Linked DNA regions of Notamacropus eugenii. The protein of the gene in region 1 purifies or fractionates together with the protein of each later gene. This does not show direct contact. Links are inferred from orthologs where the notes say so. Each region holds a gene or a part of one and is shown in the gene's direction. Other genes may lie near its edges.

Region 1 (5,055 bases):
AGAATAGGTGTACAGTCTGGCCCTTGATACCTGGCCCTGGAGGCTGTGGAGGATAAGGGTGGATAAAGGTAGGGAAACTACTCAGGGTGTATGGGTAATGGAATGGAACTAGATACCTGGATTTTGAGTAAGAGCAGAAGTCTGCCATAGCTGAGCCAGACAAGATTAGAAACTTCCAAGCCTAGCTTTTGTGAGAGCCCGAGGGAGTCTGCTCCAGAGCCACCTATTTAGGACTTATCAAGTGGGGGAACCTGAGTTTCACTTTTAGTTTCTGGAAAATCAGGGTCAGGACTGGGATTCCACAGTCCAGGCTTCCATTCCCTCTGCATCCCCCAGCTCCAATCCACTGCCCCCTCTCTGATGAGAATGGGGATAGGGATTCAGGCATCTGGACTCTTAGCCCAATGCTTGACTCCCCTCCTCCTGGCCCCTCCAAGAACCACAGGAATCTGGGACCCTGGTGTCCTGGCAACATGACGCACAGGCTCTGGGCGTCTGTTTTGAATTACTAGTTAAAAATAAGTCCTACAGTTAAAAACGGAGAGGGGCTGAAGGGGGGGAAGGGACCTCGGAATGTTCTTCCTCCCATCTTCTGGGCCCGATATCTGACAGTCTTGGTTCTTGTTTATGAACCTTGGGGAGATAGAAAGGATGGGATGCAGGTCCCTTGAGTCTTGTTCTCCAACCTGGGTTTGGGTTGGAGAGGCATGGGGTGGGGGTGGGAGGGAAGGATAAAGGTCAGAAAAATTCAGAACCTTAAGGTGGGTAGATGATTTGGATGTCTCAGGTATCCAGAGCTTGAGCCCCTCAACTGAATGCAGGCATCCCTTCCCCCACACTTGGTTTGCTCAAATCTTAGTTGCAGAATGGGCTGCCCAGATGTGGGCAGGAGGGGGTAAGGGGAGGGTGACTCATTGGTTACTATGGAAGGGAACCCATGGGGAGAAGTGGAGTGAGTCACTTTTTGGGTACCAGCCTACCCCGCCCCCACCTGCATGGGACCCCTTAACTATGTTTTCCCCCAACTTTACTACTTGGCCCCTATTTCTCCTTCCAGATACTCCTGATCCACCCTTTGCCCACTCCCACATTTTCACTCTTCTGTTCTTAGTCTTTTGGAAAGGGGTAAAGCCCTGGGCAGGCAGACAAGTTCCAGACCATAGAGACATCCATCAAAGTTACAATGTACACAAGAGCGCATGGGGGACAACACCATGAAGGGCCTGGACACCCCCCCTCCATTTCAACCTAAGGTCCTACTGCCTAAGAATTCGGTGCGCATGCTGCTGTTCCTTTAAGAATGTGGCCCCTCCCCTCTTCCCAGGCTTATTTGAGCCTTAGCTCCACAGCCCGGTGACTCAGACTCAGAGTGTCCAAGAGCGCCGCGTCTACACTGGGCGGCCTACTTACCCAAGAAGGGCTAAGATCAGAACTCCGGGAGGTCGCCCATCCGAGCTCCGAACCCTAGCGGGCACCTGTCTCCGAGAGGAGGCTCAGCTGCCCGACTTCTGCAAACCTTCCCTTCCCCGTCTTCAGGTCCTTAATCTTCAGGGACCCCCTGCCCCCAGGGCGCTGCCACCCTGCCTGCCATGGATACCCCGTCGCAGCGGCGTGCCACCCGGAGCGGGGCACCAGCGGGCTCCACCCCGCTGTCCCCGACTCGGATCACGCGGCTGCAGGAAAAGGAGGACTTGCAGGAGCTGAACGACCGGCTGGCTATCTACATCGATCGGGTCCGTTCGCTAGAGACGGAGAACGCGGGCCTTCGCCTCCGGATCACCGAGTCTGAGGAGGTGGTGAGCCGGGAGGTGTCCGGCATCAAGGCCGCCTACGAGGCCGAGCTCGGAGACGCCCGCAAGACCTTGGACTCCGTAGCCAAGGAGCGCGCCCGTCTGCAGCTGGAGCTGAGCAAAGTGCGGGAGGAGTTTAAAGAGCTCAAAGCTCGGTGAGTGGGCCCCGGTGTCAAGGAGCTCCGTTCGGCCCAGGGAAAGGGGATTCATTGGGAGGGTGGGGTGGCAGTGGTGGTGTCTGTAGCTCCCCAGAGCGAGGAAGCGGCAGGTGGCATAGCCTGGGGGTGGGGAGAGAGAAAATATCCATCCTTCCTTCTGGGAGGTCTTCTCAGGTAAGAGGGGTGGAAGGAACCCTAGGAAGGAACAATTTTGCCTGTTCCAGAGTTCCTAACCTCCTAGGTGGTTAGGCTGAGTCAAATGGCAGTTACATGTCAGGTCAGAAGAGCCTCTGAGTAGAGGAACTAGGAGAATTGGGTGCATTTGGAGGTGAGGTGGAAAGCAAGTCGGAGAATGCTACCAATAGACTCATATGTCACAGTGCCTGGGTCCCTGCCTGAGGAGCACTGGCTGAGTCCAGTTGGGACTTTGCCAGGCTCCTGAAGCCCCAAGGAGAAGATTGGGCAATGACCAACTGGAGCTAGCATTGCCCAGGCAGGAAGTCCTAGAGGTGTTGGGGTGGTTGAAAGGGTCCTGTCAAGTATTACCCTTGCATGAATTGGCACCACGCCTACCTTGCCCAGGCTGTCTCCATGCACGTGGTATACTAGTCAAGCATAGGCTTCCAAGCCTGGCACCATACCTAGCAATGCTTTTGTCGGGGTGGTAGGGAAGTTTGGAAGACTGCTGATTCCCCTTTCCCTAGTACATGGGGGCATGGAAACCTCCAGCCAATGGTGAGCACGGGCATTCTTGCCCTTCTTGGAAGGACTCTGCAAGGTCCCGTACCCCTCCCGCTCCCCCATTGCCTGGGTCTTTATTTATTTTTTTACAGTGACTAAGCAACAAAAAAAGTTCTAGCTCCCAGAATTTCCATATTCCTTGGCCTCTCTAGGATGGGAATAAAGAGAAAGGGGCTTGTGGCTAGAGATTCCAGTCTGGATTATGGTGCTCTGTGTCCTATCTTGGAGGAAAATCGGGAGGGTATTTACCCTGCAAACCTAGCACCCCCTGATCTTAGTGAGCGTTCAATCTTGAGTTGGCTCGAGTCCATCTTTCTTGCCTTCCTGGAGACCCCAGTCATTCTTTATGCCTGGGCTGGTCACTTTCATTTTCTGTGGTCAGGTTTGTGCAACTATGTCATCTGGTTCATCCCTTTCCTCTGACGTTTGTTCTTTGCTCATTAAAATGCTTGGAGATTATGACTTTTTTGAAAATCAACCGTTGTTAATCGGCAGCCTCCCCTGGGGCCCCTCCTACTCTCCTCCACCCCACCCCACTTAAAAAAAATGACTTTGGGGAGGATTGGTCTTCTTACCACAAGTCCTAAGGCATTTTTTATTTTAATGCTTGTATCTGCCTTTTCCTTAGTGAGACCAGTAAATATGTTTAGAGATTCCTCAGTAACTCTGGATTTGGGATCTTGCACTTTCTTAGCCATTTTCTCTAAAGTCTGTTTTTTTTCAAAAATCTGTTCCTCTCGAAATAATTTCCAGAGTATTTCTTGTGCCTTCCCACCTCCCACCTCCCCCTTTTTCTGTTAGATTTCATCGTACCCTTTCCCCTCCTTCAATCTTATTCCGCAACTGGCCCAGGAAGAACCCAAGTTAGTAGAGTGTGGAAAAAAAACACTAATTCTCCTCATGGCCTTGCTTAAATAATTTAACCCATTTTTTCCCCATGTGATCTGTTCAAGGCGAATGAGTCAAGAAGAAATATGTAAGAACTAGTTAATAGTCTTAAATGAGTTCCTTCTGGAAGGGAAGATTTTGGCTGCTATTCTTTTTGGAAAGAACAATGGGGTTAATAGAACTGTGTCCAAGGGTTGCTCGTTATTTTCTTGATTTTGAAACGTTGTTTGACTCTCCCTACTTTGCAGCTGTCCCATTGTGGCTTCTGGGACCAGTGTGGGGGGGTGGGAGGTGGGGGTAGAGACAGGGGTGTATCCTATGTATGTGTTATATTTAGCCAGCTGCCTCTATTCTCCCCCACAGATCCTGACTTGGGGTGGGGCTGGGCTTCCGGAGAAGGCTGGGTGCCCTGGGGCAGTGGGGATGAGGGTAAATTTCAAAGGAAAGTTGAAGGCTCTGAGTTGGGGTGACTGGGATAAAGGGTGCTTTCAGACCTTTTTTGTCCCCTTCTGCACACCCCAGGATAATAGAGAATTAAGGACAGCCCTCTTCTCATCCTCTCTGTTTGAAGGTAGCCACAGGAGGAGCCAGTCTTTCCCAACGCTTGCCCTCAGCGATACCTTCCCTTTAGTAGATTCTGGACCCCGAAGTCTAAGAACTCTTCATATTGCTAAGTGTGCAAAGCCAAGGCCCCCACTTAAAATATCTGTGACCCTCAGACCCTTCCTTTTTTTCCACTGAGTCAAATAGGATTCACCCTCTGAGTCTATGGAAAGTAGAATCAAAGTTAGAGGAGCTCCGGGTCTTAGATAGTCAGGATCAGTAGCTTAGGAAAATGTTAGGGGAAGGAAGGGGGATGGTGGACAGCTGTATTGGTGACTCACAGTTGCTGCCTTATTATATCCCCACCCTGTGGTGCTGGTGATAGTGGTGGTGGTGGTGGTGGTGGAGAGGGTAGCTAACAGATAACCTCAAAGAAAGGGAAGGGGTATAGACTGATGGGTTGTTGGGTCTCAGTGTCTGGGGACTAATAACCAAGAGCCCGAATTGCCTTTTCTTTGGCAAGAGTGGTCCTTATAAAGATCGCTTACATTCCTAAGCACTTTGAAGATTTATAACATGCCTTCTTGATAATGCTACGAGATAAGAAGTACAAGTATTATTAATCCCATCTAACAGATGGAGAAACTATGGCTCAAAATGGTTCTATTTAATTAAGCTTCTACTATGTGCTAGGCACCATGCCAGGTGATGGAGATACAGAGACAAAAATGAAACAGTCTTTGCCTTCAAGTAGCTTACATTCGACATACAGAGGTAAGTCAATAAAATATATGTATACATAGTAAATATAAAGTAATTTCAGAGTGGAGGGAGTATATGAATAATTGGGTGGGTGGGGGGAATCAGGAAAGGAAATAGGAGGTGGTACTTGGAGCTGAGCCAGAGTGAGCTAAGCATTCTAAGAAGAAAAGGAT
Region 2 (5,055 bases), on another chromosome or scaffold:
CATTAGGGTGAAGATTAACAGTCTCTTTCATTCTTATTTTTAGGAAGCTTTTTGTTAGGTCAATGCAAAAACCTATTTCGCTGTAATCTGCTGTTCATGCTAATATGCCATGGGTCTAAGCAGGATAAATGATCCTTTTTCCATCCACATCTTCTCCAAGTGAAGCACGTCTACTTCCTTCAACAGACGCTCCTCATGTGGCCTGATTTTGAAGCCCTTTGCTGTCTGGGGTGTCATCCTCTTGATTCTCAATTATTTTTTTTCTTAAACGAGTGCCCAGAATTGAATGTAATATTCCAGATGACAGGGGAAAAGACAGCGAAATTCTTTGCTCCCTTATTGTGGACACTCTGCTCTAGCCCAAGATCTCATCAGCTTTGATCAAGTTACTATTTTATACTGTGTGGGATGGCTCAGGTCCCTACATAAATCAATTACTCAGAGGCCTCTCAAAGTGATGACAGAAAAGTGATTTATTCGATTCTCGAGAAGTGGGGTTCACCTGTAGGAGTAGGAAAGACAAAGAACAGGACAGTGATTTATATAGACCCTAACGCAAGTCCCTCCTCCCCCCACTGACCATTATCCTCATTAGCTGAGAATATGGTCTTACATTCTAGACACGAAATCTAACCAATCCCTTTTGAAATGAAGACATCGAGGAATTATGTAAGTTTTGTCCAGTCATTGAGACCCTAATACACTACACAGTTTTATATCCTTATATGGAACTATTCTATTCTAAAAATATTGTAACCTTGAGCCTTTAGGCCTTACCTCACCCCTGGGAGAAAAATTACAATCTGAGGAGTCTTCACTAAGTATCCCACTCAATACTGATGATTCATACTCAGTTTTCTGCCACCTAAATTCTCAGATCTTTTTCAGGTGACCTCTTTGATATACCCTCCCCTCCTGGTTTGTTGTTGTTCATTCATTTCAGTCATGTCTGACTCTATATGACCCCATTTGGGGTTTTCTTGGCAAAGATGCTGGAGTGGTTTCCATTTCCTTCTCCAGCTCATTTGACAGATGAGGAAACTGAGACAAACAGGGTTAAGTGACATGCCCAGGGTCACACAGCTGGTTAGTAAGTGTCAGAGACTAGATTTGAACTCAGGAAGATGAGTCTTGCTGACTCCACACCCAGCTATACGTGACCATTTAAAAATAGCTGGCTGGTTTTTTGTTTTTTTTTAATGTAAGGTCTTTGAAGACAATGGGCAGGTTTTTTTTCAAGAGAAATTTTTTTTTTGAATCATGATTCTTTAAAAAAAAAGATAATTCTCTGAGCCAAAAAAATAAATAATTTTAGTATATTTGGCCTATTGCTCTAACCCATCCAAGGTTTTTTTTTGGATCCTGACTTTGTCATCAAGTATGTTAACTCTCTTTCCCACCTTTGTGTCTGCAGATTTGTTGAGTGTTCCACCTTTGTCTCATCCAAATTATATCAGAATATAGGCTTCTTGAGGGCAAGAACTGTTTGCCTCTTTTAAATCCCTAGCACACTAAATCTAGTGCCTGGCACATAGTAAATGCTTGTTGGTTGATAGTAAACAGTACAAGAATGGAACATTCTGATAGAAACTTACTTCCAAATTGGTAACCCATCTGTTAATAACTACTTTGGGGAACACTCAGCCCAATCCAGATCCCTTGCCTATACTGTGGTGCAGACTATATTTCCCTGTCAACAAAGACTAGCTGGAGAATGTGATTTTCCCCTCCTCCCACCATTTTACAGCTAAAGAAACTGAGACATAGAGAAATGATGTAACTAATTTAAGGTCTTCTAGATAGCAGGTTCCTGAAGAGTGAAAAAAAGTGAATTTCTGCCACCAGCTTGAATCAAGGAGGCCTCCTTGGCCCATGGCATAGGCACAGACACAGATCTAAAAGGACCTTTCTGATAATGTTTCTTCCTTTGGACCTTGTTCTATGGTAAGGTAATGTTTTGATGTGAATTTGTCCTTAATAATCATTATAACTCCCCTTCCTCGGTCCTCCAGTGAAGTCATAAGCCAGTATTTGTGAGATATTCTCCCTGTTGCCATAGTGACAAAAATACAGTCATATAATCACCTTTTTTAGCTCCCCTTGTCAGCTCTGTGCCAAGGCAAGCAGAGGAACAACCACCCTGAGTAGATCTGGATCTCAGTCATGAAAAAGCAACTGTCAGGTAATGAAACTCAATAGGCAACACTGGCAGCCTTTTGTTACCTATCTGTACTGAATAATCATTAGTTACCTAGGAGTGTCCAGAGAGTGTCATCAAGCTTCCTTGCTTTTGTGCTAAGTTGACTTGCACTCTGCCCAGTGTGACTGTGAGCTGCTTGACACATTCTAAGAACTTGGAAGGAGGTCCCAGCCCAGCTTATCAGATAGCCGATCTTCACCTCTCCCCCAACACAGCCTTATTGGGTTTCAACAACTCATTGGAATGTCTTTCATGTCATTGTACTCCATTGACAAAATATCCTTCATTCCTATCTGCCCAATCTTTTCACTTTCTATTTTTAATCTCATAAATTCATTTTTAAATCCCTGAAGCCTTGAGACTGCCATAAAAGCCATAGAATTGCAGGACTCCAGAGCTAGAAGGTGCTAGCATTCTAGTCCAACCTGTAAAAGTTGAAAAGACTCCTCTAAAACATACTTAGAAGTAATAGTCCAGGATGGGAGGGAACCTACTCCCTCCAGACAATCCAGTCAGCATTTGGATAATTCTAACTGTAGGAAGCTTGTCTATGCAAACCAAGCCTAAACTTGCTTATGCACTTTTACCTTGCCCTCCATCCTTCCTTGCTCCTTCTTTTGTTCTTTGGAGCCAAGCGGAACCAGACTAATCCCTTTCCTGTGTGGCAGCCCCTCAGGTTCTTGGAGACAGCTATCATATCCCCCCACCAGGCCTTTTCTTCTCCTGGCTAGACATCCCCAGGACTCATTCTCCTCTCATAAGGTTTCATGGCCCTTCACCATTCTGATCCATATTTCTGGATAGTTTCTATCTTTTATCAGTTCCCTTCCTTAAATGCTGTACCTGTAGTAGTGATGGAAGTAGTAATAGCAGCGGTAGCAGCAGTTACTAGCACTTAATTGCACTTTGAATGTGGCAGGCATTGCCCTGAGCCTTTTACAAATATCTCCTTTAATCCTTGCAACAACCCTGGGAGGTTGGTGCTATTATTGTTATCATCCCCATTTTATAGTTCAGGAAACTTAAGACTGACAGAAGTGACTGACAGAAACCCCTGATTGGCTCTGAGTGAACGTAAATAGTGATTGTTTCTGTTTTGGTCAGAAACCCTGAGAGTCTTTTCCTCCCAGATTGATTTTTTTTTTTTTTAAAAACTAGGTAAAGAAGCCAATCTCTGCCTCATTTTTATTAGGCCTCAATCACTGAATGAGTATTGCCTCAGTCAAACTGAGACCTGTTAAAGACCTTAGCTTAAAAAGGCAAGATCTAAGGCAAGATCTCTCATTGCATCTTGGGCCCTATCCAGTTGTCCTGATTCATATCTGGCCACTGAACCCAGATAGCTTCAGAGGAGAAAGTGAGGCTGATGAAGCCCTCCCTTACTTAAATCCAACTCACTTGTATGTCATGGCATCACCCTCTTGAGAATGAAGGACAGACAACAGCCACCATAAGCATACTAATCCAACTGTGCAGTCTTTAGGGGCTACTGACTACCTTATCATACTATTGTAGAGTCATTGAATTTTCACTCCACTGAAACTCCCAGATTGCTGCTATCCTCCACCTTACCTGTACAAAGTTCATTGTTTGAACCTAAATATTAGACTCTACATATATCTCTCTTAAATTTCGTCTTAATTAGATGTGGCCCAGTGTTCCAACCTGTGAATTCCCTTTTGATCCTGACCTCCAAGGAGTTAGCTTTCCTTCTCAGCTAGCTTTGTGTCATCTTTAGATTCAGCAACCAACGACCTTTATTTAATTCACTGATAATAGATTTTTTTCATTTTCAGTATCAAATGAAGAATTTTTACATACATAATAAAATAGAAGGAGAAGGTTGCACATGAAAACTCGAGTTCTATTATTTACAGCCTTCTTTTTAATCAATATCAATAAATCATTGATAAAAAGGTCCAAGTACAAATTCCTGAGTTTCTCTGGTGGAGATCTTTCCAGTTAACAATGACCTATTAATGACTATTAGAACAAGGTTATGCCAAACTTTTGCATTCATCCTCTGTTGCCTGCCCTTGCATCTAACTGGTGTATATGTATTTTTGAAATTTTATTGTGGCTGATGAATTCCCTGTGTTATCCTTATTTGCCTTTTTTTTTTTAAGATAACTTCCTTTTTTTCTTATTGGAATTTTCCTTTCATGTCAGTACAGTTTCATCAAAAGTTTCTGATTTATCCACATAGTTTGCATAGGATAGAACCCCATGTGGGCAGTCTTCTGCTTCCTAGCTGCCTTTCACAGCACTGATTTGTATCCTTTACACAGGTTAGAGAATACCTAGAAAATACTGGTCTTTTGAGTCAGAAGACCAACTCCTATGCTTACATTCTCATAAGATTGGTGAAAGAAAAATACTTTGTAAACATTACACTGTATTATATATAAAATTCAAAGACTTGTTCCTGTGAAGCCCTTTATCTTGAGCTTTTCCGGATATTTCTTGAGTATATCTGTGTAGGAAGGGAGTTAATGTAGTGGTGAATTTGATGTCTGGGGACCTGAAATGGAATCCTAGCTCAGCTATTTACTGTCATTGTGGTATTGTATCACTGTGGTAAATAAAATCTCTAAGCCTCTTTCCTCACGTGTAAAATGAGCTCCAGATGCTGTGGTTCTATTAGTAGAGGCATCAATCATTCTCAATTCGTGGAAGATAGAATTTGATTTGGACTTTGAAAAATAAATAGGCAAAAGGAAAAAGGGAGGGCATTCTCAGTAAGAGGAAAAACATGAATGAAGACAGGCAAGAATAATGTTGGGATGTCTATGTAGGAGACTGTGCCCATTTGGCAGATGGGAAAACTGAACTATGATGCTCTTTGTTCAAGGACA

The links. The genes of interacting proteins can lie anywhere in the genome.
Region 2: the proteins of LMNA (region 1) and KPNA6 purify together in Homo sapiens (affinity purification with mass spectrometry; 4 studies listed by BioGRID and IntAct, with this or other methods). This does not show direct contact. The link is inferred for Notamacropus eugenii from reciprocal best matches to the Homo sapiens genes LMNA and KPNA6.

The regions. Positions count from the first base shown.
Region 1 is NC_092873.1:380,199,845-380,204,899, forward strand, and holds the start of LMNA (lamin), read left to right. Parts: upstream 1-1,326; 5' UTR 1,327-1,589; coding exon 1,590-1,945; intron 1,946-5,055.
Region 2 is NC_092876.1:77,691,520-77,696,574, reverse strand, and holds the start of KPNA6 (importin subunit alpha-7), read left to right. Parts: upstream 1-2,063; 5' UTR 2,064-2,163; coding exon 2,164-2,182; intron 2,183-5,055. UniProt on the Homo sapiens protein: Functions in nuclear protein import as an adapter protein for nuclear receptor KPNB1. Binds specifically and directly to substrates containing either a simple or bipartite NLS motif.